Regions from separate parts of the Mus musculus genome. Here regions 2 and 3 are each reported to be linked to region 1. Evidence: microRNA targets listed by miRTarBase, many of them from high-throughput screens and not tested one by one. Region 1 holds a microRNA gene; each other region holds the end of a gene's coding sequence.
What was found. Region 1 holds the annotated microRNA mmu-miR-669a-3-3p (ACAUAACAUACACACACAUGUAU, at 8,053-8,075, opposite strand). A microRNA usually pairs through its seed, bases 2 to 8, with sites in the 3' UTR of a target mRNA and lowers its output. Matches are read on the target gene's strand: a 7mer-m8 pairs with bases 2 to 8, a 7mer-A1 pairs with bases 2 to 7 and ends in A, and an 8mer does both.

Region 2: the mRNA of Zfp37 is a reported target of mmu-miR-669a-3-3p. Seed matches in the 3' UTR shown: 7mer-m8 at 4,310-4,316.
Region 3: miRTarBase lists 2610002M06Rik as a target of mmu-miR-669a-3-3p. Seed matches in the 3' UTR shown: 7mer-m8 at 1,509-1,515.

The regions. Positions count from the first base shown.
Region 1 is chr2:10,471,836-10,482,570 of GRCm38, reverse strand. Mir669a-3 (microRNA 669a-3) reads right to left here and starts at 8,138; the gene lies at 8,030-8,138. All of the region lies in intron 10 of Sfmbt2 (Scm-like with four mbt domains 2), which reads right to left. It overlaps Mir467c (microRNA 467c), which reads right to left and starts at 8,640; the gene lies at 8,544-8,640. It overlaps Mir466b-1 (microRNA 466b-1), which reads right to left and starts at 8,352; the gene lies at 8,271-8,352. It also overlaps Mir669k, Mir467a-1, Mir466b-8, Mir466f-3, Mir297a-2 and Mir466o, and 9 more genes.
Region 2 is chr4:62,183,797-62,194,531 of GRCm38, reverse strand. It overlaps Zfp37 (zinc finger protein 37), which reads left to right. Exons shown (of 4, transcript NM_001290351.1): 4 at 1,843-4,995. The coding sequence ends at 3,368. Among named protein-coding and RNA genes, the nearest start is that of Zfp37, 19 kb to the left of the region's middle.
Region 3 is chrX:107,785,374-107,796,108 of GRCm38, forward strand. 2610002M06Rik (RIKEN cDNA 2610002M06 gene) reads right to left here. Exons shown (of 8, transcript NM_025921.3): 3 at 8,135-8,281; 4 at 7,720-7,788; 5 at 7,526-7,633; 6 at 5,363-5,406; 7 at 2,893-2,965; 8 at 1-2,480. The coding sequence ends at 2,436. It also overlaps a transcript of Tent5d not described here. Among named protein-coding and RNA genes, the nearest start is that of 2610002M06Rik, 26 kb to the right of the region's middle.

The DNA of each region.
Region 1 (10,735 bases):
CAAATTTGAACTCCTGATCAACCTGACTCTGTGAAGGGACTTCACCTGCTGAGTGAGACCTCTCCCCATTCAGTACTGAGGAATCTTAAAACTCTAAGTCACACGTCATTCAAATGGATCGATGAGTTGCACTGATGTTTGTGTGTGTGTTTCTGTTTGTGTCTGTGTACATGTATATATTTGTGTAGATAGGTACATCCATATACTCAAATCCACACACAATAGAAACAGATACAGATAGAGATACATAGGGGGCATCACATGAATCCCAGGCATATCTTAAAGTCATCATGAAGTAAAGCATGAATTTGAACTCCTGATCCACAATCTGTCACACCTGGTGAGTAAAACCATTCACTGTCCCAAACTGCATAATCTAAAACTTTAAGTCACATATCATTCAAACGTATAAATGAATGCAATTTTTTTCTCTGTGTCTGTACTTGCATATACACGTGTGTTTATATTTTGAATATCATGTCAACAGAGGCAATGCATATACAAGTAAACACACATGCACATACATGGGTGGCCTCATATGAATACCAGGATGACCTCTAACTGAATTAAGCATGAATTTGCAATCCTTATCCTCCTGACTTTGTCAATCTTTTACACCTGGTGGGTGAGGTCATTCAATGTCCCCTATTGCATAATCTCTAAAACTCTACATCACTTATCATTCTAAGGGATTGGCGAATGCCATTCCTGTGTCTGTGTATGTGTGCTTGCGTTTATACGTGTGTGTGTATGTTATGTATATTCAAATATAGACATGAACATGCACACACAACTATACACACATGCACATACATGGAGGAATCACAGGCTGATCTCTCATGAGGATAAGTGTAAATTTGAACTCCTGATACTCTTAACTCTAGCAAGCATTTTCACTCTAAGTCACTTATCACTCAAATGGATTGATGAGTGCCATTCCCCTGTGTCTGTGTGCTCATATGTGTCTTATGTGTGCGTGTATGTATATGTATATCATATTCACATATGTACATGCACACACACATCAACACATATACACATACATAGGGGCAATCACATGAATGCCAGGATGACCTCTAACTCATCATGCCTTTACCATGAACTTGCACTCCTGATCTTCCTGACTCTATCAAGGGTTTTCCCGTGGTTTGTGAGACCTCACCCTGGCCCAGTCATACATAACCTCCAAAGCAGTAGGTCACATATCATTCAAATGGATCCGTGAGGGACATTCCCGCATGTCTGTGTGCATGTGTGTGTTGGTGTGTGTATGTATATGCATAAAATATACACGCATATACATGCAGGCACTTACGCACACGGGCACATACAAAGGGGCCATCACATTATTCCAGGATGATCTCTAACTGCTCATGAAGTTAAGCATGAAATTGAACTCCTGATCCTCCTGACACTGCCAATTGTTTACACCTGGTGAGTGAGACCTTCACTATCCCTCTACTTTATAATCAGCAAAATTCTAAGACATATATCATTCAAATGGATCAATGAGTGTCATTCTTATGTGTGTGAGTGTGCATGCCTGTGTGTGTGAATACATTTTATATGTGTGTGTATTTATATGTATGATCATATACACACATGTACGTGCACACACAATTATATGCACTTTTGCATACCTAGGATCCATCACACAAATACAGGGTGATCTCTAACTCATTATGAAGTTAAGCATGAATTTGAACTCCTGAGACTCCTAACTCTGGCAAGTGGTTTTCATTTGATAAGTGAGATTTTTCCCTATACCATGAATATACACTCAATGAAACTCAAAGCACGCATAAATCAAATGGATGACTGCCATGTGTGTTTGTGTGCACATGTATGTGTCCCTAGTTGTGTGTGTGTGTGTGTATACATATATACATATATATACATATATATATATGCATGTTCATATACGCGCATGTACAGGCATACTTCCCTATACACATAAACACAAACACAGGGAAAATCACATGAATTCCGGGCTGATCTCTAACTCATCATAAAGTTAAACATGAATTTGAACTACTCATCCTCATGATGCTGGCAAGAGTATTCACCTCCTAACTGAGTCATAGCTCGGGCCATTCGTGGGAATATGTTTGCATGTGAGTATATGCATATTCATATACAGAAGTGAATATATACACAACTATACACACATGCACATTCTTGGTGGGCATCACATGAATCGCATACTGAACTCTAACTCATCATGAAGTTAAACATAAATTTGAATTCCTCATCCTCCTGACACTGGCAAGAGTACTCACCTCCTAACTGAGACATAGCTCTGGCCATTCCTATGAATGTGTGTGCATGTGTGTATATGCATATTCATATAGAGAAGTGAATATGCACACAACTATACACACATGCAAATTTTTGATGGGCATAAGATGAATCCCATGCTGGTCATGAACTCATCATGAAATTCAGCACAAATTTGAACTCCTGATCCACCTGACTCTGTCAAGGGATTTCACCTGCTGAGTGAGACCTCTCCCCATTCAGTACTGAGGAATCTTAAAACTCTAAGTCACACGTCATTCAAATGGATCGATGAGTTGCACTGATGTTTGTGTGTGTGTTTCTGTTTGTGTCTGTGTACATGTATATATTTGTGTAGATAGGTACATCCATATACTCAAATCCACACACAATAGAAACAGATACAGATAGGGATACATAGGGGCATCACATGAATCCCAGGCATATCTTAAAGTCATCATGAAGTAAAGCATGAATTTGAACTCCTGATCCACAATCTTTCACACCTGGTGAGTAAAACCATTCACTGTCCCAAACTGCATAATCTAAAACTTTAAGTCACATATCATTCAAACGTATAAATGAATGCAATTTTTTTCTCTGTGTCTGTACTTGCATATACACGTGTGTTTATATTTTGTATATCATGTCAACAGAGGCAATGCATATACAAGTAAACACACATGCACATACATGGGTGGCCTCACATGAATACCAGGATGATCTCTAACTGAATTAAGCATGAATTTGCAATCCTTATCCTCCTGACTTTGTCAATCTTTTACACCTGGTGGGTGAGACCATTCAATGTCCCCTATTGCATAATCGCTAAAACTCTACATCACTTATCATTCAAAGGGATTGGCGAATGCCATTCCTGTGTCTGTGTATGTGTGCTTGCGTTTATACGTGTGTGTGTATGTTATGTATATTCAAATATAGACATGAACATGCACACACAACTATACACACATGCACATACATGGAGGAATCACAGGCTGATCTCTCATGAGGATAAGTATGAATTTGAACTCCTGATACCCTTAACTCTAGCAAGCATTTTCACTCTAAGTCACTTATCACTCAAATGGATTGATGAGTGCCATTCCCATGTGTCTGTGTGCTCATATGTGTCTTATGTGTGCGTGTATGTATATGTATATCATATTCACATATGTACATGTACACACACATCAACACATACACACATACATAGGGGCAATCACATGAATGCCAGGATGACCTCTAACACATCATGCCTTTACCATGAACTTGCACTCCTGATCTTCCCGACTCTACCAAGGGTTTCCCGTGGTTTGTGAGACCTCACCCTGGCCCAGTCATACATAACCTCCAAAGCAGTAGGTCACATATCATTCAAATGGATCCGTGAGTGCCATTCCCGCATGTCTGTGTGCATGTGTGTGTAGGTGTGTGTATGTATATGCATAAAATATACACGCATATACATGCAGGCACTTACGCACACAGGCACATACATAGGGGCCATCACATTATTCCAGGATGATCTCTAACTGCTCATGAAGTTAAGCATAAAATTGAACTCCTGATCTTCCTGACACTGCCAATTGTTTACACCTGGTGAGAGAGAATATTCACTGTCCCTCTACTTTATAATCAGCAAAATTCTAAGACATATATCATTCAAATGGATCAATGAGTGTCATTCTTATGTGTGTGAGTGTGCATGCCTGTATGTGTGAATACATTTGTATGTGTGTGTATTTACAGGGATGATCATATATACACATGTACGTGCACACACAATTATATGCAAATGTACATAACTAGGGTCGATCCCACAAATCCAGGGTGATCTCTAACTCATCATGAAGTTAAGCATGAATTTGACCTCCTGAGACTCCTAACTCTGGCAAACAGTTTTCATTTGATAAGTGAGATTTTTCCCTATACCATGAATATAAACTCAATGAAACTCTAAGCACGTATAAATCAAATGGATGACTGCCATGTGTGTTTGTGTGCACATGTATGTGTCCCTAGTTGTGTGTGTGTGTATATATATATATATGTATGTATATATATATATATATATATATATATATGCATGTTCATATACGTGCATGTACAGGCATACTTCCCTATACACATAAACACAAACACAGGGAAAATCTCATGAATTCCGGGCTGATCTCTAACTCATCAAAAAGTTAAACATGAATTTGAACTGCTCATCCTCATGATGCTGGCAAGAGTATTCACCTCCTAACTGAGTCATAGCTCGGGCCATTCGTGGGAGTATGTTTGCATGTGAGTATATGCATATTCATATACAAAAGTGAATATGTACACAACTATACACACATGCACATTCTTGGTGGACATCACATGAATCGCATGCTGAACTCTAACTCATCATGAAGTTAAACATGATTTTGAACTCCTCATCCTCCTGACACTGGCAAGAGTGCTCACCTCCTAACTGAGACATAGCTCTGGCCATTCCTATGAATGTGTGTGCATGTGTGTATATGCATATTCATATAGAGAAGTGAATATGCACACAACTATACACACATGCACATTTTTGGTGGGCATAAGATGAATCCCATGCTGGTCATGAACTCATCATGAAATTCAGCACGAATTTGAACTCCTGATCCAACTGACTCTGTCAAGGGATTTCACCTGCTGAGTGAGACCTCTCCCCATTCAGTACTGAGGAATCTTAAAACTCTAAGTCACACGTCATTCAAATGGATCGATGAGTTGCACTGATGTTTGTGTGTGTGTTTCTGTTTGTGTCTGTGTACATGTATATATTTGTGTAGATAGGTACATCCATATACTCAAATCCACACACAATAGAAACAGATACAGATAGGGATACATAGGGGGCATCACATGAATCCCAGGCATATCTCTAAGTCATCATGTAGTAAAGCATGCATTTGAACTCCTGATCCACAATCTTTCACACCTGGTGAGTAAAACCATTCACTGTCCCACTACTGCATAATCTTGAAAACTTTAAGTCACATATCATTCAAACGTATAAATGAATGCAATTTTTCCTGTGTGTGTGTGCTTGCAGATACACGTGTGTTTATGTTATGTATATCATGTCAACACATACAATGCACATACAAGTAAGCACACATGCACATAAATGGGTTGCATGACATTAATACCAAGATGTCTCCAAATGAAGTTAAGCATGAATTTGCAATCCTTATCCTCCTGACTTTGTCAATCTTTTACACCTGGTGAGTGAGGCCATTCAATGCCCCCTATTGCATAATCTCTAAAACTCTACATCACTTATCATTCAAAGGGATTGGCGAATGCCATTCCTGTGTCTGTGTATGTGTGCTTGCGTTTATACGTGTGTGTGTATGTTATGTATATTCAAATATAGACATGAACATGCACACACAACTATACACACATGCACATACATGGAGGAATCACAAGCTGATCTCTCATGAGGATAAGTATGAATTTGAACTCCTGATACTCTTAACTCTAGCAAGCATTTTCACTCTAAGTCACTTATCACTCAAATGGATTGATGAGTGCCATTCCCATGTGTCTGTGTGCTCATATGTGTCTTATGTGTGCGTGTATGTATATGTATATCATATTCACATATGTACATGTACACACACATCAACACATACACACATACATAGGGGCAATCACATGAATGCCAGGATGACCTCTAACTCATCATGCCTTTACCACGAACTTGCACTCCTGATCTTCCCGACTCTACCAAGGGTTTCCTGTGGTTTGTGAGACCTCACCCTGGCCCAGTCATACATAACCTCCAAAGCAGTAGGTCACATATCATTCAAATGGACCGTGAGGGCTATTCCCGCATGTCTGTGTGCATGTGTGTGTAGGTGTGTGTATGTATATGCATAAAATATACACGCATATACATGCAGGCACTTACGCACACAGGCACGTACATAGGGGCCATCACATTATTCCAGGATGATCTCTAACTGCTCATGAAGTTAAGCATGAAATTGAACTCCTGATCCTCCTGACACTGACAATTGTTTACACCTGGTGAGTGAGAATATTCACTGTCCCTCTACTTTATAATCAGCAAAATTTTAAGACATATATCATTCAAATGGATCAATGAGTGTCATTCTTATGTGTGTGAGTGTGCATGCCTGTGTGTGTGAATACATTTGTATGTGTGTGTATTTATATGTATGATCATATATACACATGTACGTGCACACACAATATATGGGCATGTACATACCTAGGGTCCATCCCACAAATCCAGGGTGATCTCTAATTCATCATGAAGTTAAGCATGAATTTGAACTCCTGAGACTCCTAACTCTGGCAAGCAGTTTTCATCTGATAAATGAGATGTTTCCCTATACCATGAATATACACTCAATGAAACTCTAAGCACGTATAAATCAAATGGATGACTGCCATGTGTGTTTGTGTGCACATGTATGTGTCCCTAGGTGTGTTTATATATATGCATGTTCATATACCCGCATGTACAGGCACACTTCCCTTTACACATAAACGCATACACAGGGAAAATAACATGAATTCCGGGCTGATCTCTAACTCACCAAAAAGTTAAACATGAATTTGAACTGCTCATCCTCATGATGCTGGCAAGAGTATTCACCTCCTAACTGAGTCATAGCTCGGATCATTCGTGGGAGTATGTTTGCATGTGAGTATATGCATATTTATGTACAGAAGTAAATATGTACACAACTATACACACATGCAAAATCTTGGTGGGTATCACATGAATCGCATGCTGAACTCTAACACATCAAGAAGTTAAACATGAATTTGAACTCCTCATCTTCCTAGCTCTGGCAAGAGTGCTCACCTCCTAACTGAGATATAGCTCTGGCCATTCCTATGAATGTGTTTGCATGCGTGTATATGCATATTCATATAGAGAAGTGAATATGCACACAACTATACACACATGCACATTTTTGGTGGGCATAAGATGAATCCCATGCTGGTCATGAACTCATCATGAAATTCAGCACAAATTTGAACTCCTGATCCAACTGACTCTGTCAAGGGATTTCTCCTGCTGAGTGAGACCTCTCCCCATTCAGTACTGAGGAATCTTAAAACTCTAAGTCACACGTCATTCAAATGGATCGATGAGTTGCACTGATGTTTGTGTGTGTGTTTCTGTTTGTGTCTGTGTACATGTATATATTTGTGTAGATAGGTACAGCCATATACTCAAATCCACACACAATAGAAACAGATACAGATAGGGATACATAGGGGGCATCACATGAATCCCAGGCATATCTCTAAGTCATCATGAAGTAAAGCATGAATTTGAACTCCTGATCCACAGTCTTTCACACCTGGTGAGTAAAACCATTCACTGTCCCACTACTGCATAATCTTGAAAACTTTAAGTCACATATCATTCAAATGTATAAATGAATGCAATTTTTCCTGTGTGTATGTGCTTGCATATACACGTGTGTTTTTGTTATGTATATTCATGTCAACACATGCAATGCACATACAAGTAAGCACACATGCACATACATGGGTGGCATCACATGAATACCAAGATAATCTCCAAATGAAGTTAAGCATGAAGTTGCAATCCTTATCCTCCTGACTTTGTCAATCTTTTACACCTGGTGAGTGAGTCCATTCAATGTCCCCTATTGCATAATCTCTAAAACTCTACATCACTTATCATTCAAAGGGATTGGCGAATGCCATTCCTGTGTCTGTGTATGTGTGCTTGCGTTTATACATGTGTGTGTATGTTATGTATATTCAAATATAGACATGAACATGCACACACAACTATACACACATGCACATACATGGAGGAATCACAGGCTGATCTCTCATGAGGATAAGTATGAATTTGAACTCCTGATACTCTTAACTCTAGCAAGCATTTTCACTCTAAGTCACTTATCACTCAAATGGATTGATGAGTGCCATTCCCATGTGTCTGTGTGCTCATATGTGTCTTATGTGTGCGTGTATGTATATGTATATCATATTCACACATGTACATGTACACACACATCAACACATACACACATTCATAGGGGCAATCACATGAATGCCAGGATGACCTCTAACTCATCATGCCTTTACCATGAACTTGCACTCCTGATCTTCCCGACTCTACCAAGGGTTTTCCCGTGGTTTGTGAGACCTCACCCTGGCCCAGTCATACATAACCTCCAAAGCAGTAGGTCACATATCATTCAAATGGATCCGTGAGGGCCATTCTCGCATGTCTGTGTGCATGTGTGTATAGGTGTGTGTATGTATATGCATAAAATATACACACATATACATGCACGCACTTATGCACAAAGGCACATGCATAGGGGCCATCACATTATTCCAGGATGATCTCTAACTGCTCATGAAGTTAAGCATGAATTTGCACTCCTGAGACTCCTAACTCTGGCAAGCAGTTTTCATCTGGTAAGTGAGATGTTTTGCTATCCCATGAATATACACTCAATGAAACTCTAAGCATGCATAAATCAAATGGATGACTACCATGTGTGTTTGTGTGCACATGTATGTGTCCATATGTGTGTGTATATGTGTATGTATGTATGTATATATATATATATATATACACATATATATATATATATATATATGCATGTTCATATACCCACATTTACATGCACACGTACCTATACACATATACACATACACGGGGACAATCACAGAAATTCCAGGCTGTTCTCTAACTCATCATGAAGTTAAACATGAATTTGAACTCCATATTCTCCTCCCTCTGGCAACAATATTCACCTCCTAACTGAGACATAGTTCTGGCCATTCCTGTGAGTATGTGTGCATACAGCTATGTGCATATTCATGTAGAGAAGTGAATATGCACACAGCTATACACACATGCACATTCTTGGAGGGCATCACATGAATCGCATGCTGATCTCTACTCATCATGAATTAAATATGATTTTGAACTCCTCATCCTCCTGACTCTGGCAAGAGTACTCACCTCCTAACTGAGCCATAGCTCTGGCCCAGTACTGCATAAGCTCTAAAGCTCTAAGTCACATACCATTCAAAAGGATATATGAGTGGCATTCCTGTGCGTGCATGCGTGTATATGCATATTCATATAGAGAAGTGAATATGCACACAACTATACACACATGCACATTCTTGATGGACATCACATGAGTCGCATGCTGAACTCTAACTCATCATGAAGTTAAACATGAATTTGTACTCCAGGACCACCTGACTCTGGCAAGGGATTTCACCTGCTGAGTGAGACCTCTCCCTATTCAGTACTGCAGAATCTTAAAACTCTTAGTCACACGTCATTCAAATGGATCGATGAGTTGCATTCATGTTTGTGTGTCTGTGTACATGTCTATGCGTGTGTAGATATGTATATTCATATACACAATCCACACACAGGTACACGCATGTACACATACATGGGGGCATCACATGAATCCCAGGCAGATTTCTAAGTCATCATGAAATAAAGCATGAATTTGACCTCCTGACCTCCTGATTCTAACAAGCATTTTTAATATGATGGGTGATAACTCTCCCTGACCTAGTCACACATAATCTCCAAAGCTCTCAGTCACATAGATTGATGAGTGAGTGCCATTCCTGTGTGTCTATGTGCTCATATGTGTCTTATGTGTGCATGTATGTATATCATATTCACACATGTACATGTACACACACATCAACACATACACACATACATAGGGGCAATCACATGAATGCCAGGATGACCTCTAACTCATCATGCCTTTACCATGACCTTGAACTCCTGATTATCTTGACTCTGGCAAGGGTCTTTACTTGGTGAGTGAATCCTCTCCCTGGCCCAGTCATACAGAATCTCTAAGACTCTAAGACACATATCATTCAAATAGATCGATGAGTGGCAGTTTTGGGTTTGTGTGCATGCTTGTATGGGTATGTGCGTATGTATATGTATACTCATATACACACATGCACATGCACACATACATATACACACAGGCACATACACTGGGGGCATCACATGAATCAGAAGCTGATCCCGGACTCAACATGAAGTTGAGAATGAATTTCGACTCCTGATCCTCCTGACTCTGGCAAGATTTCCACCTTGTGAGTGAGAGCACTCACTGGCCCAGTACTACATAATCTCTAAAACTCTAAGTCACATATCATTCAAATGAATAAATGAGTGTCGTGTGTGTGTGTGTGTGTGTGTGTTGCGTGCGTGTGTATGTGTGTGTGTATGTATACATATATTCATATACACACATGCACATGCACACACACGTAAACACACATGCACATACATGAGGGGCATAACATGAATGTCTGGATGATCACTAACTGAAATTGAGCATGAATATGAACTCCTGATCCTCCTGACTCTGTCAACAACTTTCACCTGGTGAGTGAGACC
Region 2 (10,735 bases), not on the chromosome of region 1:
AAGTGAACATGTATACACACAGGCAAAGATTGTTTTAATCTTACATGTCAAGAGAATAAGTGTAAGCCTTGACCACTTTGAGAAGGAAATTTGTCCCTGTCTTCCCCATCATCACTGCGTATCAGAAGACTTTGTGTGCTGTGCTACCTGGAGGGCCCTGTTTATCTCTTTATCACAGGGTGCTGAATCTCTTGAGTCCTTGGATGAAATAGCAGCTAACAGTTCAGCTTTTCTGGACTCCCCCTTACCCTACTATATCTAATTTCCACCCCTCGTCTGCCTCTGAGTGTTTCTCTCTGTCTGTATATGTGTCTCCTGTCTCTGTCCTTTCTGTGTCTGTTTCTGTCTGTCTGCATCTCTGTCACTCTGTCTCTCTCTTATTTTTCTAACATGAATTTCTATTATGTAGCTCCGACTGGTCTGGAACTCATAGAGATCTGCCTGCCTCTGCCTTGTGAGTGCTGGGATTAAAGATGTGTGCCACAATAGCCTACCCCAAATCACGGTCTCTTAAATGTCCTCCATAAAGGAGAGAATTTCATTCATCCATTCAGATACCCTTATTTTCTCCATATAAAATTATTTTATCACTGAGGTGGCTATTCACTCTTTCATCTGTTTCTCTCTTTAAATGTTTAAAATTCTTAAGTCAGATGATTTCCCTATTTTATTTCTATGCAGAGAGCTATTACTGAGTAGTCTTAGAGAAGATCAATGTTTTAAGATGTATAGTTGTGCAATGTGTAGGGAAAAGAACATAAGCAAGTACTTAGAGCCATAAATAAACTTGGACTTGGCCATCAAGTATTGGAATGGTGACAGGATCAAAGGCATGTACTCCACAGGTCACTGGAAAAACAGGTAAATGCTCACTGTAAATGCAGATGGTGTAAAGCATTTCCCAAGCTAATTGCTAGGAGTTTCATGACTTTGTAAAATAGTTAGGGAACTTAGAGGAACTACAGAGTCATCTATTGTTTAGTAAGAATGTCCTTGTTATGTTGCTTGTGGAAGAGAGGGAGGAACAGCCTCCCCTGCTTAGAGCCACAGTCACCCACTAGTTCCTCAGTTCTCCTTGGTAGATGTATTCTCTGTTTTAGTTTATTTTAGCGAGCCTTAGTAAAAAGAGAGGGGTTTATCGAAGAGCTCATGAGTACCCTTCTTATAAGCCAAGGGAAGAGACTTTAGCCAAACTCCACCAGGAACAAAAACTGGCAACCTGGAAGTCACAAGGGCATTGGAGTTATGCACACTATGCTCTTGAGAACAAATAGTCCTACATTTCTGCTTCTTTCTGTGTGTGGGTGTTTTATTCTTTGTATTGAAGAGGTTTTCACTACATAGGATAAGTATGGCTTTTGTAGTACTTACATCATATCATCTTAATCACAATGGGAAGACTAGTAATGCCTTGTTATGTAGCCCAGACTGATCTCAAACATATGAAAGAGTATCTTGTTTCAGCCTCCTGAGTACTGGGATTAATAGGCATGTGCCACCGCACCTGGCATAATCACAAATTTTTTTTTAATTTAATGCATTGCCTGTTCAGTATTCCTTGTGTCTATTTACCTTCTATCCAAGGTTACAAAATCTTATTTCTAAGCAACCAACTCATTTCCTAATGACTACTTCAGTGGTCTTTCCCCTGGTTTTACTATCGCTTTCTTCCCATCAGGTCCAAGTGGATAGTGACATTTGTTCTTGTTGCTTATTTTACATTGCTAGTTAGGGTTGAGTAAGTTTTCAACCCCAGACAAGGAGGGCATCTCTTTAAGAAACGTATAAAGTACTTGAGTGGGAGTGCAGAAACTCACAAGAATGTCTCTAATTCTGTTTTAGAACTCCAACAAGATGATGAGCATAGGGAGGAAAAGCAGAAGTCCCAAAGCAAACTTACTAAGGAAGTGACACTCAGGAAGAAAAGTTCCAACAGCAAGAAAAGCAGTGAGTATGGTTTGTTGGAGAACAAAAGTCTCCACTCAAAACACACTCCTTCCGAGAAAAAACTGCTTAAGTCCAGTTCCCGTGGGAAGAACTCGAATCAGAATTCAGACTCTCTGAAAAAGAAACCTGACACAGCTAATGACCACAGGAAATCACTCAGCCATTCTGCATCTGATGTGAACAAAGATGAAATTCCAACTAGAAAGAAATGCGACAAGTTACCCAACAATAAGTTGTCTGATAAAGGTGACAAAAACCAAACCAGCAAAAAATGTGAGAAAGTATGCCGTCATAGTGCATCCCATACCAAGGAAGACAAAATTCAGACCGGGGAGAAACGGAAATCACACTGCCGTACTCCATCTAAACCTGAAAAAGCCCCAGGTTCTGGGAAACCTTATGAATGTAACCACTGTGGGAAGGTCCTCAGCCATAAACAGGGACTCCTTGACCATCAAAGAACTCACACTGGGGAGAAACCATATGAATGTAATGAATGTGGGATAGCTTTCAGCCAGAAGTCCCACCTTGTTGTACATCAGAGAACTCACACTGGGGAAAAACCATACGAGTGTGAACAGTGTGGCAAAGCACACGGACATAAACATGCCCTCACTGACCATCTAAGAATCCATACTGGAGAAAAGCCCTACAAATGTAATGAATGTGGCAAAACGTTTAGACACAGCTCAAACCTTATGCAACACCTAAGATCTCACACGGGTGAGAAGCCGTATGAATGTAAGGAATGTGGCAAATCCTTTAGATATAATTCATCTCTTACTGAACATGTGAGAACACACACAGGTGAAATACCATACGAATGTAACGAATGTGGCAAAGCTTTCAAGTATGGCTCATCCCTGACTAAACATATGCGGATTCATACAGGGGAGAAACCATTTGAATGTAATGAATGTGGGAAAACTTTTAGCAAAAAGTCACACCTAGTTATACATCAAAGAACTCATACAAAGGAGAAACCTTATAAATGTGATGAGTGTGGGAAAGCCTTTGGACATAGCTCATCTCTTACCTACCATATGAGAACTCATACAGGTGACTGCCCCTTTGAATGTAATCAATGTGGTAAGGCCTTTAAACAGATTGAAGGCCTTACCCAACACCAGAGAGTTCACACAGGGGAGAAACCCTATGAGTGTGTTGAATGTGGGAAAGCCTTTAGTCAGAAGTCACACCTCATCGTACACCAGAGAACTCATACAGGGGAGAAACCCTTTGAATGTTATGAGTGTGGAAAAGCCTTCAATGCAAAATCACAACTTGTTATTCATCAGAGATCCCACACTGGAGAGAAACCCTATGAATGTATTGAATGTGGTAAAGCCTTCAAGCAAAATGCCTCTCTTACCAAACATATGAAAATTCACTCAGAAGAACAATCTGAGGAAGAAGATTAATGTAGGAAACCTGACAACTGACTGGTTTGGTATTATTTAACCTTAAAGATGTTCTCAATTTGATGATGTTAGAATATCTTTTTTTAGGAAATCATTCCTGGTGATACATGAGAGAATTTGAATATGGATCTTTACATAAGATGGTAATAAAATTTAACCTTGATCCCAAACCTAAACAGAAAATACTGTATTTTTACACTTATTATAAATTGTCTCCATATTTAGATTAAAATACGAATCTTTTAAAAGAGTGAATAAGGAGATATCATAATCAGTAAAGTGCTTGTTAAGCAAGTACAGAGATCTGAATTCCATCCCTAAGGATTGATAAAAAGCTAGATGTGGGGGCATGCTCTTGCAATCTCACAATTGGGAAAGTTGAGACAGGAGAGTCCTGAGAACTCCTGACCAACCAGACTTATTTAATTTGCAAGCCATAGGTCACAAGAAAAAAGAACTGTTTTAAAAATAGGGTAGAGGGTTCCTGAGAAACAGTACTCAAGGTTGACACATGTACACACACAGACACACACAGACACACAGACACACACACAGACACACACACAGACACACACAGATACACACACACACACACACAGACACACACACACAGACACACACACAGTTGTGAAAATGTTAACGAATTAGAGCAACAAACAGTAAAATATGACACTTCATGAACTTTCTAGGTGTGTGCTTAAGCTCCACAGTTAGTATTTAATTTGTATTTATTCTTATTGCATACTTACCGCCTTGTGTAAAATACAAGTGAGGGTGAGGGTATCCTCTGGTATTGTCTAGCTTTCTTTGTTAATGTCTCTGTTAGCTTCTGAATTAGTAGAAAACTTTCGGGAGTTGTTTTGTTTTGTTTGAGACAATATCTCACCATATAGTCCTGGCTAGCCTGGAACTTGTTACGTGTACCAGGCTGGCCTTGAACTTGTTATGTAGACCAGGCTGACCTTGAACTCACAGAGATATGTCTGTCTCTGCCTCCCAAGTGCTAGATTTAAAGACTTCAGTAGAAAACTTTAAGGGGTTTTGTCTAGATTTTGTTAAGAGGTTCATAAAAAAGTGGAAAACAGCTGAAAATGTGTTGATAGTGAGTGATACTTGTTATATTGTTAAGTATAGAAAATGGATTGTTAAACCATCTATATAGTATGTTCTCATTGTGGACAGAGTGTGTATGTGTGTCCCTGTACTCTGTGTACATATATATGTGTTTATCCCCATATATTTGTATATGAATAGACTTTTTTTTAACCTATAAGAAAATTAATGGTGGCTTCCACTGAACACAAGAGTGCAGCATTGAGGTCTGACATGTTTATCATGTACATGTGTCTAATTCAAATATGTATTATATAAAAATACATTCATATGTGCAAATTAACACAATTTAAAACAATAGCTGAGTCTATTTCACAGTGTTATTTGAAAAAGTGACATAAGATTTCTATGCTCCTTTATGAACAATGAATTTAAGACATATGGCATTGAACCTTGATATTGAATTCACAAAGAATTTCCTATAGAGCACAGATTTTTGTTAACATGAGTCATAACTGTTAACAATATTTTATTTCTCTTATTTGCTATTAAAAACTAAAGATGAATGAAAGTGAAAGTGGTATTTTATTTTATATTCAGAATGCTAATTCACAAATGTCTTAGTCAAGAATTTCGGCTGTATTTCAACAAATGCCTCCACACCCCATTCTTGCCCAGTAGCAGATATTGTTGCTGGATCCCTTGCTCAGCTTCTCACAGAGTCTGCTTCAGAATGCTTGTTGGGAAAGCATTCCAGAAGGTAGTGTACATCAGTTTGACTTTTTCCAAGAGACCTGTCTGCCATTGCAAACTGTGTTAGCTAGGTTCTATTGCTGATAAGACACCATGACTAAAATCAACTTGGAGATGAGGAAGGGTTTATTTCATCTTGTAGCTTAGAGTTCATCCTCCAGGGAGGGCAAGGCAGGAACTGAAGGCAGGAACTTAGAGGTAAGAGGTTGTAAAGGAGTACTGCTTACTGGATTGCTTCTCAGAGCATGTTCAGCCTCCTTTATCATTAGGACTATCAGCCCAGGGTGGCAACTCCAATGGTGAGTGGGGTAGCACTTTTAAGTTGTTCTAATTGTTTTACATTGTTTTCTTTTATGTCAGTGATCTGTGTCTTAGTTGGGGTTTCATTGTTTTGAAGACATACCATGATCAAGCTAGCTCTTATAAAGGAAAGCAGTTCATTGGGGCTTGTTGTGAATGGGCCTGGTCCTGTTTGTATGTTAATTCTGCTTTCCTGGGAGGGGTTGTGGACAAGAAGTGAGTCATTCTCAAATGACTTCTTGTGGACCAATCTCCTAATGAATAAAGGAGCCAATCACTGGGCAGGTAGGCAGGACTTCTAGGTTGGAAGAGGGGAAGCAGGAGAGAGTTACAGCCCTTTTGGAATGGGAATAGCATATGGGTATGATGTAGCTGCTAGAGTTTTCTGGTACCATGGCAGATCTGCAAGGTTTGGACACTAGGGGAATCAGATTTTAATAAGGCTTACAAGATTAGGTTTTAGTTGTTGCATCCAGAGATTGAGTTACCATTGTTTATGAAATTACTTTGTGTTTTCCTTCACATGGCGGCTTGTCTGGATTCAAGAGAGAAAAAGGTACAGTGGCAAAGGATGGGTTTGCCAGATGTGCACTATAAACGCCATGGGAGATTTGAAGCAAGGGGTTGAGGTGGTAATGATGTATGTCAGCAGGTACCTAGCAAGCTGTCTCTTCTGTCTCCGACCAGCAGAAAAGAGCGACGACACAGCGTTCTTCTCAAAGTAGTTTATTCAGGAACCTTTCAACATGCAAGCAGGAATCTCTCACTAGCCCCCAATCGCAATCCCCTATATAACCTCTCAACCACGCCCCATCAGCCCAGCCCGAGTAATCTCAGTTCATTGGCCTTTGTTAAATGGCCTGATCTTGCATCATAGTGTGCCTGCACAGCTCTCAAGATGGATGTGGCTTATTTTCGGGTGTATGAGGAAGTCAGGTGCAAGTCATAAGACTTGGATGCAGTCCTGGGTGCCATCTTGGGACTACCATCACACCCACTCCCCACAGCAAGCTGGGTGGAAAGACTGTGGAGTTCTGAGTCAGAATCTTCATGAGATAAAAACAGGTCAGCCATTGCCTGCCAGTGCATGTCCAGCCAGACCTCTGGTACAGAAACACAAGTGTGGGAATGTACGGGATCTATTTTTTTTTTCTTTTTTAATATTTTCCACAACAGGAGCTGGCTTACAGTTTTAGAGGTTTAGTCCATTATCATCATGGTAGGAAACAAGGCAGTGTGCAGGCAGACATGGTACTGGAAATGTTGAGAGTTCTATCTCTTGATCCAAAGGCAGCCAGGAAGAGACTGTCTTCTTCAGGCATCCAGGAGGGGACTCCCATCCACACTGGGGTGGAACTTGAGCATAGGACCTCAAAACCCACTCCTACGGTGATGATTTTTCCCAACATGGTCAAACATCCTAATAGTGTCACTTCCCATGGGCAAATCATATTCAAACCATCACAATCTACAATCCACTCTTCTCTGAAAAAAAGTTCAAAACAAAAAAACCACACCTGGGCTGGGTGTGGGGAACGATGCCAGACAATGCCAGCCTGGACAAAATGGCTGGCCAAGGAGACCTAAAGCAATTTTCACTAAGTTCAGCTGCTTAAAGGGTTTTCTTTGTCACCTACTCATATTTAACCAAAATCTGAGCACAGCTTAGTGGTCATAATGTTTTATTGATACTAATAAAGTCATTGCAGGCAGTGCTTTTCTTCTGATGAACTGTGAATGGTTTAGGACTCATAGGGGTGTCTGTGTGACAAATTCTGATGTTCGGGGTCATTAACAATATTGCTTAAAAACAAAGAGGCCTTGAAAAAGTCATGATGAAGGATTAAGAACCTGGGGTTTATTTGAGTTTATTTGAGCAATTCCTGGGAATTAAATAAGACAAATGTAGACAACTGTCAATTCAATGGATCAAAAATAGATAAAAAATAAAAACCATCTTGAATTCTTCCATAAATTAGAAGAGAGAATACTTCCAAAGTCATTGCCTAAGGAAGCATCACTGATACCAAGTGGAGACAAAGATTCAGTGCCATAAAAACAAAAACAAACAAAGCCTCTGGGCTGACAAGGTGGCTCAGCAGGTGATGTGCTTCCACAGGTGGAGGAGGGCATCACCTCCCTGGAGCTGTTTCCTGACCTGCATAGGCTTTGGCATATCCACCCCTCACACACCATGCACATGTGCATATTACATTTTAAGGAACGGGATTATGATGATCCTAGGAAGAATTTGGTATGCAAACAAATCCACATAAAAGAGAAAAAATACTACACAGATGATTGGGGGTTTGTAATAAAGACACAGTGGTTTCTGGCTATGAAGATGGGAAGTATATTGTTAGTGAGCTAAGAATGTTGACAGAAATGAAGGTAACCTGGGAGACACAAGCAATTTTACTTTTCTCCATAATGAATTTAAAGCAATTTAAGTTGAAATGGAATAGTCTACTGGAGAAAGAATTTAGAGAGAAGTATTGTGATAAGATAAAAAGGAGATCTGTGGGCTGGAAAACTGGAAATTAATGATGTGGGGAAAATTATAAAAAATATATATTACAGTACCTGGATTCTTTAAGAGAGAGCAAACAGATAGAAAATACACCTGTGATGGCTATTCTTGCTTGTTAACTTGACTACATCTGGTATCAAATAAAACCCAAACAGATCGGTACACCTGCGGAGGAATTTTTTCTCAATTAAATCTTTTGAAGTGGTAAGATTCACTTTTAATCCTGATCTTTTAAGGAGGAAAGATATACCTTTAGTCCAGGCCATACATTCTGGTGCTAGCCTATATAAAGGATATGGAATAAGGAAGCTTGCTCTCTCTTTGCTGCTTGTTCTTGCAGACAAGTCTATTCCTTCAGTGGCATTATAGCCTACTTCTTCAGGATTCCCGTGTATACTAAAGACCAGCTGAGATGTCCCAGTCTCATGAACTGAACAACTACTTGATTCTGGGAGCTTCCACTCATGGACAGCCATTGTTGGATTAGCTGGACCACAGCCTGTAAACCGTTCTAATAACTCTCTCTCTCTCTCTCTCTCTCTCTCTCTCTCTCTCTCTCTCCCTTCCTCCTTCCCTTTCTTTCCCCCCTTTTTCATTCTATAAATTCTGTCCTCAAAACCCAGCCAGTACTCATCCTCTGCTGGCACAGTATTAACAGTTGAATAATATAAGGCAACCTTCACACAGTGCATTCCAACAGAAATCAATCCTTTATAGTCTACTAAAGCAGCAGTAACTCCCTGAAGGAGACAATGGTAAGACAATACTGATGTTCCCCAGGGCACACCAATGGGCTTCCAGACATATAAAGGCTAAGTAGACTTTTAGTGGGGAGGTAGAAAGTATAGTCCATGAGGAAGGGGTGCTAATGAGTTTGTTAATTCATTGAAGTAGAACTCTGGGGGTATATGTGTGTGAATGGATTTTAATGGTGGGATACTTGTAGAAGGAACATAAAACTGGATCAGGCTGAGTTTATTGATCCAGTGGAGACTCTTGGTTTAACATGGAATTGCAAACAGTTAAAAAATAAGATGTCAGGGGGAGGGTGTGGGGGACTTTTGGGATAGCATTGGAAATGTAATTGAGGAAAATACATAATAAAAAAATAAGATGTCAAATGTTTGTTTGAACATTGGCTGAAGGCCAGAAGATCATCATTTGTCAGAAGATGGCCTACTGAAAAGGTGCTGGTGATGCCTGATATCCCTTGGCTTAGTGTTGATGAAGGGATTTTAAGGCTCAGGCAAATTGCAGTGCTAGAGTGGGTGCAATATGTAAAACTTAATACTCAACAATGGGAAGGACCAGAAGACATGCCCTTCATAAGTCCTATAAGATGCAAAATGATGAAAGGGCACCAGCAAATTTGAAGAGCTTTGTTGTTGCCTTTTCCTTGTGCTAGACTTTAAGGGTGGAGCTGCTGCGGCTCAGTTGGATGAGGAACACACTCAATTGGGCCCCAAGGTAGCATAGGACAGGTGTCAACACTGAATTGACAAGGGCAAGGTTATCCTAATGGTTGACATAGAGAAAGCAATGTCCATACTAGTGTGATCTGGAATGGTCAGCACAAAGTGATTTTTATGGTATTTTATTTTTATGATTGAACTTTGAATTTTTATTTCATATGAACTTTGATACTAGCTAAACAATCATGGTGCTTTCAGGCATAAACTAGATAGGCACTTCAGAGGATGAGAAATAAATCCAACCAAAATTCAAGGGTCTTGTACCTCAATGAAATTCCTAGGAATCCAGAGGTGTGTGGTATTACTTTAAGACATTCATTCTAAGGTAAATTATAAGCTATGGCATCTGGCCCCTTCAAAGGTCAAGAAAGAAGCACAGTATTTAGTGGCTTACTTGGATTCTGGAGGTAGCACATTCCCCACTTGTATGCTCTACTCTAGCTCATATACCAAGTGACTTGAAAAGTTGCTAACTTTGGGCCCAGAAGGGAACAAAAGAAGGCTCTTGAGTAGGTCCAGGTTGCTCTACCACTTGGACCATACAATGCAATAGACCCAATGTTACTTGAGGTGTCAGTGGCAGATAGGGATGATTTTTGGAGCCATTAGGAGGCCCCTGTAGGTGAATCACAGATGAGACTTTAGAGCAAGGTCCTAACATCATCTGCTGAAAATTATTCTCCCTTTAAGAGAGAGCTCTTGGCTTGCTGTTGGACCTTAGTGGAAACTGAACATTTGACAATGGGCCAGAAAGTTACCCTGTGGATTGGGCTGTCCATCACGAGATGGATATTATCTGACCCACCAGTCATAAAGTAGGAGATGTACAACAGAAATCTATTATCAAATGGAAGTAGTGTATACAAGATCAGGCCTGAGCAGGTCCTGAAGACACAAGCAAGTCGCATGAAGAAGTTGCGCAAATGTCTGGTTTCTACTCCCATTACAATGTGATTTGCTCCCAAGCATGCACCCATAGCTTCATGGGATGTGTCCTATGATCATCGACTGAAGATGAGAAGACTAAGGGCTGGTTCACTGATGGAGTATCATGTTATGCAGGCACCACTCAGAAGGGGACAGCTACATAATTATAACCCAATTTTGGGACAGCCCTCAAAGACACTGGTGAAGGGAAATCTTCTCAGAGGGTAGGAATTTGGGCAATGAATATACATAGTGAGTCTTTCCTACTTTGTGGGTTCTTTCCCCACATTTTATCCCTTCAGTTTCATCCCCTATCATTAGATTGGAGTAAA
Region 3 (10,735 bases), not on the chromosome of region 1:
TAACTTTACAGCCCTGATAGTAATATTTTAAAAGGTAAGTCTGACATGGTTGCAACATAAAAGAATGAACAGCTAGTTGTGGAGCTAAGTGGTAGTAATAAATCTAACAATTTTTTATTCAAGTTAAAAGAACAGAAACTATTTAATTCATACCAACAGAGAACACATTCTTTATGTCATAAATACTTTTGTCCATCAAATCTCTTCTATGGATATCTAGGGTATCCCAATACAAACTTTGGATTAATGTTGCAGAATTTTCCTAGTTATATAATAAATTGTCCATTAAAAGGTCTTAAAAATTAATGAACAGTCATCATTAAATTACTGGCTAAAAACTATAATGATTTAAACTTTACAGTGGATTAAAACCAAGTAAATATTTACTCTGTTTCTCTTTACATAATGTTCTGAATTGAATGAGTCTCCTATAGGCTCACATATTTGAAACTTTGTTCACCAGTTGGGAAGGTTATGGTACAGGTCATTGTACAAACTCTGTTGGAGGAATTATTCCACCAGCAACAGGCATTGGGAGTGTCTTGCCACACTTCCAGCTGGCTCTTTCTGCGTCATGTGTACAGCATAATAGAAAGCATGATTTCTTGGCTTCCTGATCCTGCTACCATGCATCCCTGCCATGGTGCACACTTTCTTATCCCTCTGGAACTGTAAGCCAAAATAAACTCTTCTATTTATAAATTGCTTCTGGTCATGGTGCTTAATCGCAGCAACAGAGAAGTAACTAACGTAGAAGATGTTACTAGAGAGTGAGCTATTAAATCAGGCAGCAAAGCTGGAGGAGTTAAGCCATCCAAACCCTCGGAAAGTAGTCCCAGACATCCCACATAGAGCTACAGGATTTGCTTATATGTATGCCTTGTGAGCTTTCAGTCTCTCTGTAGTCCAGTATTTCCTCATCATGTCCCCCTTCCTCCCTTCTAAAATGATAATGTGTAACCTGTGCCATCGTATGTTGGAAGTATATTATTTGCTTTTAGATCTTATCAGTGGCTAGAGATTGTCTCGAGTCTCACAAGATATGCTGGACTTTGAAATTTCAAATAGTATTGAGATTGAGAAAGACCATGGGCACTTTAAGCATCAGAGTAAATACATTTTGCATTATGATATGGCCATAAGTCTATGGAAGCCAGGGAGAGGAATGCAGTGGTCTGAACGAGACATTTTTCCATAGACTCATGTACTTGAATAATTGTTTCCCAGTTGGTGGTGCCTTATGGAGAAGGTATGGAGATATGCAACCTTACTAAATGAAGTATGTCACTGGCTTTGAGAGCTTCTAGGTCTGTTACACTGGCAGCCTGTTCTTTCTGCTTTGTGTGTGTCATTAAACATGTACCAGCTACCTGCTCTTGCTGCCACACCTCCCCACCATGATGGAGCCCTCATTTCCCTGGAACCATAAACCAAAATACTTTCTTTCTTCCATAAGTCACTTTTGAGCACGGTTATTTATCATAGAAACAGAAAAAATAACTAATGTGCATAACAACCCCCACCCCCAAATCATAGAAAATGAGCTGGGTATGGTGGTATATACTTAGAGACCAATGCTGGAGGCTCACTGAGTTTCAGGGAACTCTGGGCTATATATTTCTGCCCTGTCTCTAAAATAAACAAGCAAAACAACAACAGCAACGAAACAAAACAGAGGCTAGACACATGGCTCAGGAGTTAAGAGCACTGGCTGGTCTTCTAGAAGAAATGGGTTTGAATTCTAGTATCCACATGTTGGCTCCCAATTGTCTATAGCTCTAGTTCCTGGGGAATCCAATGTCCTCTTCTGGCCTCTGTAGGCACCAGACACACAAGTGAGTACACAATTTAACATGCAGGCAAAACAACCATACATACAAAATAGAAATAATTTTCAAAAATCCCATGGAAATTGTATAGTCTATCTTGTGATACTTAAAATAAGATGGTCTGGGTTATGCGAACATATTAAATGAACATGCTTTCCTGTTTTTATTTTTACAAAATCAAAATTCATCACAGACAATAATTGAAAGTTACTTTCAATAAGTAAAAACAAAGCCTTTATACATTATTCTGACAAAATTACTTTACTTAGCATTACTTTGGTGCTAGATGTTTGCTCTAATATTTGCGGAAGATGTATAATATACAGAAAACTAATGCTAGCTTTGCCAAAGACATCTAGAAAAATATGTCCCTCACACTTTTACACACAATATATAGAACTATAAAATCTGCCAATGTGGAAATTCCTTGGAATTTCGCAATGCACTGTGAAATACACAAGGCAAAAGAAAGCATCTTATAGAAATGATGTCCAAACATCCTGTCATGTATGATGTTTTTGTAACTGGAATACACCTTATCTATAGACACACACACAAATGATGGCTCAGAAATATGTGGAGGAACAGAAGCACCAGTTATTTAAGTTACACTTGATCACGAAGACGAGCAAGCCTCTGTGACAGTTCATCCTAGGGGAAGCCAAATTTACAAATTATCAAAGGCTGTAACAAATATTAGCCACAAAATTTTAATCCTCTTCCATTGTAAATAGAATTTAAAAGCTTATGAAATTTATATAAATGTTAGGCAATTAGTTTTTTAAATATCTCAAAAGAAACTGCATTTAGAGCAGTATGAAGGTTAGCAAAACAATGTAAGAAATGAAATGTGCATGCAAATTGAAAATGCCCACCATTACAGAGCTAATGGTTTCTCATATTTTCTTCATTTATAATGATGTATCATGGTAGAAAAATATTCTTCATAAAAATGTGAATATGTTTTCTTGTATGCAAATATATTGCATATAAATATACATTTTCTAAATTTTAATTTAAATATAAATCAGGTACATGAATTAAAATAAAATTCGATCTCTACCTGCTCTGTAGAAGCAACACTTGCACCAACAGACCCTGTCTGACCCTGTGGTAGTTCCATATTGAGATCGAGGCTGAATAAAGACAAAATTAAAAATAATCAGAATCAAAGAATGTTAATATAGACATTTTACAATGATCATATAGGCACTGTAAACGAGAGCACTATAACCTTTTATTTTAAGTACAAATCAAAGCATGTTTACATGTAAATAGAACTTGAATGTCTTCAGAATCATTTTGAACATGTGACTGGTGGTTTTAAGTACTTTCCTTGAGCTACAGAAGCTTTAGGAGCCAGATTAGTTCAGTGTTCCGTTCCTGAATTCTCTTAGTAGAACCAATAATTTCTCTTTTTTGATGAAAAAAATTTAGATTTTTTTCATTCTATTTATTTTTTATTTAGTTTCATTATTTTTAAATCCAAAGCATAATTTTCCGTTTATCGAAAATAGATTCCTCTTTCTTACAGTATATCTTGATTATAGTTTTCCCTCCGAGTTCTTCCCCACCTTTTCTCCCCTCTCTGGATCTACTCCCTTTCTGTCTCTCATTAGAAAATAATCGGCTTCTAAGACTTAAAAAGTAAATATAACCAAATAATCTATAGTAAAGTGAAGCATGAACCATCACATGGAGGTTGGACAAGGCAACCCAGCAGAAGGAAAGGAGCCACAAGATCAGGCAGAAGTATCAGAGACCCGCTTTTTTATTCACTCGAAAGTCCTATAACAATACTAAGCTGAAAGCTGAAACATATATCCTCAGGACCTGGTGCAGACTGCGTAGGTCTTATGCTTGCTGCTTCACCCTTTGTGAGCTCATATGAGCCTTGCTCAGTTGATTCAGGGGACCTTGAAGAACCAAGGATTTCATCCAACTACACAATGTTTTTTTTTTCTGTTTCTGCATATTATTTATTTATTTTTATTACGTATTTTCCTCAATTACATTTCCAATGCTATCCCAAAAGTCCCCCAACCCCCCATTCCCCTACCCACCCATTCCCCCTTTTTGGCCCTGGCGTTCCCCTGTACTGGGGCATATAAAGTTTGCCTGTCCAATGGGCCTCTCTTTCCAGTGATGGCCGCCTAGGCCATCTTTTGATACATATGCAGCTAGAGTCAAGAGCTCCGGGGTACTGATAAGTGGACATTAGCCCAGAAACTTAGTATAGCGAGATATAAGGTACAATTTGCAAAACACATGAAACTGAAGAAGAACGAAGACCAAAGTGTGGACACTTTGCCCCTTCTTAGAATTGGAAATAATGACCCATGGACGGAGTTACAGAGACAAAGTTTGGAGCTGAGACAAAAGGATGGACCATCAAGAGACTGCCATATCCAGGGATCCATCCCATAATGAGCTTCCAAATGCTGACACCATTGCATGCACTAGCAAGCATTTGTTGCAAGGACCGTGATATAGCTGTCTCTTGTGAGACTAGGCTGGGGCCTAGCAAACACAGAAGTGGATGCTCACAGTCAACTATTGGATGGATCACAGGGCCCCCAATGGAGGAGCTAGAGAAAGTACCCAAGGAGATAAAGGGATCTACAACCCTGTGGGTTTTTTTTTAAAGAATTAATGCAGGTGTCCCAAGTTCCTATCACCCCAGTGAATGAGATAGCACATGTGTAGATCTAGGGCTGTTGTTTGTTTACCTGTAAGCTTCATGACCTTAATCTCTATTGTACTATTCTTCTAGGATATAAACTATTTTTCTATTTGTCTCGAAAATAATGTATTCTAACAGGAAAACTATACAAATAAAACAGTAATTTTAAATGGCATTAAGGGATGCTATTGGCAGATTTTTTTTGAAAGGCAAACATACCCTATACTAAAATTTCATTATGAGAATTGTTAACTCAAGCAACTAGATATCTAAAAGTCCTTAATACTGGAAATTAATGTTTCTGTATCAGTTGTTCTACCTGCTTCTCTTGCTTCAGTTACTGATTAATTAATTTCTCAATACTGGTCTCATTTTCCCAAGAAACAGCTAGCAATATCTAAACACATATATAGCTGTCACAACTGGGAGAAATGGTGCTATGGCCTTACCTCTGGACCATCTCCAAGTATTTCATAACATCAACCGCTGACTGAATCTAGCTCCAGAGGCTTGCTGGAGTTGATGTCATTATGGTTTGAAAATTCACATTTGTGTGTGTGTGTGTGTGTGTGTGTGTGTGTGTGTGGCTAGAAAAGGGGGGGTAACTGTTAAAAGACCTTGAAACAGTATCTCTATAAAATGTCAAAACTCCAAGCTGGATGAATGGGTTTAAAGACAAATTTTTCACTCCATAGCAAATTTTTAGAAGGACGTATACCTTTTCAGTCCAGGGCTTCACATATACTAGGCAGAAACTCTGAGCAAAATACTAACTTCATATTATCAACATGTAAGACCTCTAAATGTCAAATGCAGATTATTTAAAAGGATTTGAGTGAAAGGACCTTACCCAGCTTCATCTGCCATTTCCTGGAGCAGCATATCCACTTGGTTCTAAAATAAGAAAACATGAATTCATAGTTTTGTAGTATTAGTTGTTGGATGGCTTTTGGGTTTGGTTTTGCTTGGGAAACTTATTTTTAACGTTTAAAATAGGGGCTATAGTAACCATGTCTAGAGGCTCACAATTGCCTTTAACTCCAAAACCTGAGGGAGATAAAGCCTCTGTCCTCTACAGGAACATGTTATCACTAGTACACAGTTCCCTCACTCCCACATAATCAAAAGTAAAATAATAAAACTTTTGTAAAATAAAACAAACAACACATACACACACACACACAAACTTCTTGCCCTTCAAAACTTTTAAAACAATCCTTTAAAAATATTTTAGAGGCCCATTAGTCGTGCAAACTTTATCTGCCTCAGTACAGGGGAACGACAGGGCCAAGAAGTGGGAATGGGTGGGTGGGGGAGTGGATGGGGGAGCGTGTGGGGGACTTTTGGGAGAGCATTGGAAATGTAAATGAAATAAATACCTAATTAAAAAAAAAACAGAAAAAAATATTTTCGCCACAAGGGGGCGCTACACGATTTCAGACAGCAACTTGAATGTTACGCTTTATTTTATTTTATTTTTATGGGAAAAATATTTGTTCAAAACAAATATTAACAAATTATTTTATATTCTAAGCCACAAGGAAATAGCAAAACATCAAAGAGAAGAGAGAAGACAAAAACTGAAGAAAAGCAGTTTACTGTCTTTCACTCTAACTTGATAATAATTAATTGACCAGGCCCTGTCTTGGCCTGTTTCCCCAAGAACCTTTTCTAGTCTATCGTTCCCTCATAATTGTGGGCTAAAATCACATTTCTCCTGAGGGTCAGAGGTTAAAGGTTGCAGATGTGCTTCTCTAGGGCTCTTAGTGGCTGAGGCAGATGTGCAAATGTAAACGTCTGATAAGTTTCTTTACTGAGGGAAACCATTTCTCACTGGCGACAGTGACAGTGGAAGGGGACGGCCCTAGAACATTTAAGCTGTGGTACTTCAAGGGCTGATGCAGGCAGCCTAGTGTGTGCTCCTGGTCCCTTCCTTCCCTAGCTCCAAGTACTGTAAAGTGGTAGGACAAGCTGTCTCTGTTCTTTCGGGAATGTTAAGCTTTAAAGTCTAATACTGAAGTTGTCTGAACAATGCTGCCAGTCAGACTCACATCTCAGTAATGTAATACTGCATGGGAGTGATCCAACTTATAAAGCTCCAGTAGAACCCAGTTTGGTTGTATGTAATAGATTTAAATTAGCTTAATTAGTTATTCTATAAAATAATACAAATCTGGCATTATGTTGACTTTTGACAAAAATATTAACAGACAAAATATACTTATATTATGTATCTATGGCACAGAACCCTATGCGGGTTTAACTGTAGGCTTAGCCAACTGCAAAACATAAACAATCAGAGAAGAAATTGTACCCATAATATAAGACTTTTCTCCTTATTAGCATTTCAACAACTCAGAAAGTGAACTACAGCATTTATATTGTGCTAGGCATTCCTTGTAATTAAAAGGCAATTAATATTGTATGAGATGTATGTATGTTATATGCAGACTCTAGACTAGACTGGAGCAAAAACATCAAATGTTTAAGTATATATGTGGGCACTGAGTTAAACATTAAACAATCTATGTATCAAAATATCATGTTACCCAATATTATGCACCTATTAAATTGTGTTATTAAGATAAGAGTATTAGCCAGCATGTGGAAACAGGTTCTAGATTCTATATATGTGATCTAATAGAATCACCAGAATTCCAAACCATACTCGGTGCTAGGTAACATTATCCTCTAAAACATTCTTAACTATCTGAGGGCAGAGCAGTAGCAAGCTTACCACCTGCACTTGGGCTATGTTTCTCAAGGTAAGGAGATGATTTATGTTCATAAAACCATTATATTTTAAAAGTAGGTGATTTGTGTTTCGACAGTGGTTCCCAGGCTGGCCCAGGCAACCCAGGCTGGCCTGGAATTTACTCCATGGCACAGGCTGGTCTCAACCTCTTAGAAATCTTGCCTCAGCTCCTAAGTACTATGATAGGCAAGCATGTGTCACTATGGCCAGATCGATTCAGCTTTAAGAAACCACTGAAAGTAAAGATGTTACTCTTACCTGTGGTGTCGTAAGGGTAGTAGTGCTACTCATTGTATCTTCCATTTGCTGTGTCTGAACATCCAATGTTTCAAACTGATGTTCAAATTTGTCCATTAAGGCAGAAATCTATAAAGATATGGTCGTTAGAAAAATGTATCCTGAAAAGATGTTAGCGGAACATCAAGTGAGAATGGTACTTCTTTAGAGCTTACCTTCTCAAGGTTCATACTCCTCAATGTAGCATCCATAGATTTAACTACACCTGCCATGGATTTTGTCACCTATGTGGAATTCAAAACCGATTGAGCAACATGTAAACTTGTTAATCTTCAAAGCACACTGCTAATATATCAACTTAGGAAACTTGTCCATAACTTCTTTCACAGTAAAACTACATTATGCATCTTGGTATAGGTAATATTTTATATTATTTATGTTTCCTTAGTAAAAATGGTTGAAAAGTTCACTGACAAAATACTTTTCCTCACTAAATCCAATTTTCTATGAAGTCCTTTATTTACATCCTATAATATCATGCAAAAGACACCGACTTGTGGCTTATGTAAATCTTCTTCTTTTCCTTAAACTCTGTCAGTATTACTTTGATTGACAGATGTTTGGTCTTACCTTGCCCATTGTTACTGCAGTTTGAACTCTGGCTGCCACAGCATCAACCCTAGCACTCATTCTCAAGAAATTGATTGCTTGGTTTTTCTGACGGATTGCATTTTCAGCATGTATTCTTGCAACTTCTGTATTGCCCTTCTGAATGGCCTGTTTTAAACAAGTAAAATAGTGTTGCAGAAAAATAACAAACCAAGATACCAGTGAAGACAAGGAACAAAAGTACAAATATTTTAAAAACGTAAATGATACCATATTACCTCTAGCTTATAAGAGCTTTTAATTAGCTTTTGGATAGCTAATTATGATTAAAATAATAATGGAATAATGTACAATCCTATTTTCTTTTTAATCTCATGATTAGAAAATGCATGTGTATTAAAAGTTTAAGATATTAGAATTTGCTGCACATGGCACATACTTTTAATTCCACAATCAGGAGGCAGAGGCAATCCGACTCTGAATTTGAGACCCACCTTACCTACATATCAAGTTCCTCTGCTACATAGTGAGACCTTGACTAAAAATAAATAAATAAATAAATAAATAAATAAATGAATAAATAAATAAATAAACTAAAAGTTAAAAATTGATCATAGACAGAATTCCCATGCTAATTTCACTATAATTTAGTATAAACTATCCTAGTATTTAAACATATTTTTATATATAAATTACATAGCTTGTACCAAAAGCAGGTGCATAGAATACAGTTTTCTATCTTGTTTTCTCTTGTGTGAAAAAAAAAAATCACCTGAAGTTAAAACAAAGCTACATCATTATTTAAAAAACTACCAATCATACATAAAGTGATTCTAGTTATTACACAGATATTAAGCAGTTTCTGTATGTTTCTACTGTATAAAAATGCTATATGTAACAGGAATCCAGCCTTTTCCTGGTATCATCCATCGCATCAGGGATAACACTAAAAGAAAAACAAATTTATCTACAGAAAAAACATTAAACAAAATGAACAGTTCAGACAGTCCTCTAACACAACAAAGTAGAATAGGTAGTATGGAAGTAAGAGAAATTCAAGAAGGAGATCCCAGTTTTTCAATAAAATAAATAGCAATTTATAACTCGCCTAGTATATGTAACTGCACATCCTTTACAAATGTTTTCATTAAGACAAATATCTACATATTGAATTACTGGATACAGATATACATTCAAAGTTAGCTTGAGCCTCCTGAATAGTTGGGGTTGCAGGCATATACTACAGGTTTGCCTCTCACTCACGCATGCATCTACTGCCTTCCAACAATAACTGCCTCCTTGACTGAAGCATTTCCTACTGGAATATATTCAAGGGATTTGGTTGGTTTGATGCCAGTTTGTTCATTTTAGCTGATTAAAAATTCCTACAAAAGAAACACCTGCACGTGAATATAGAATTAAAGTCGAAAATAATACCTTATATTAAAAAGGCTTTCTCTCAACGCAGTCACTCACTCTCTGAGAGCCTAGCATCTAGCAAATACAATGCAGTACTTTAGGCACTGGGAATTTAGCAGTGAACTCAAAGAAATCCCTGGGTTTTTTCGGAACGTACAATCTAAGCACAGCCTGATAATAAGCAAGATGACTAGAAAATGGTAAAGGTGGCAGGTATATAAAGAGGTGGCACATGCCTTTATTCTAGCACTTGGGAGGCAGAGACAGGGAGGCAGGGCAATTTCTGAGTTCAAGGCCTACCAAGGCTATATAGTGAGACCCTGCTTCGGGGTCAGGGGATGGGGGTAGTAGCAGGTGTCAGGGAGAGAAACAAAATAATATGACAGTGAAAAAAAGAAAGGCTATGAATCTGAAAGAGAGTAAGGGGGTATATGAGATGACTTGAAAAATGAGGAGGGAAGAGTAATGCTATTATAATTTCAAAAATTAAAACAAAATATTTCAAATAATAAAGAAAAGTTAGGATTCTGATTCTTGAATTTGTAGACCCTGAAAAGGATTTTAAATGTAGTGAGCTGTGAGGAAACATGAAATACAAAAAGGCTTCTCTATCTTAGTGAGAGGAAGGAAGCATGGCAATCAAGTCGTGGATGTTTAGCACAGCAAGCAGAAAAATGCCAGTGAAAAGAAACCCAGCTAGGAGTGGGTGGGCTTAACACAACTAAAGAAAGCCTACAAAATGGTCAATCAGAAATGAAATCCAGTAATCAATCAGATATGGCTTTGGAGCTATTTTTAAAAACTCGAAATTTTTATTTGGAGAGAAGAGATGAAGACAAAGTTCTGAGCAGAACACTGACACAAGTTACTACTTCTGTCTTTCAAATCTTTCCTTTGGCTATGGGACTGAGGTGTAGCTTGGTGGTTCAGTGGCTGAGTGCTTGTCTAACAGGTGCAATGGTGTTGGGCTTGATTCCTAACACTGAGGGAAAAAGGAAAAAAAAACTAAAATAAAGTAAAACAAAAGCATTTTGGGAACAGAGTCAAAACAAAGAGGGCAATTTGAAGATTATTTGCAGTAAGTGATGTAAGATAAAGATGCCCTGGGTGGAGATAAGGCTATTTTAAGGCTGTTTGTTTTAACTGAATGACACAAAAATGCCTTACAGGCACACAGCAACACTGTACTGGAGGATGGCATAT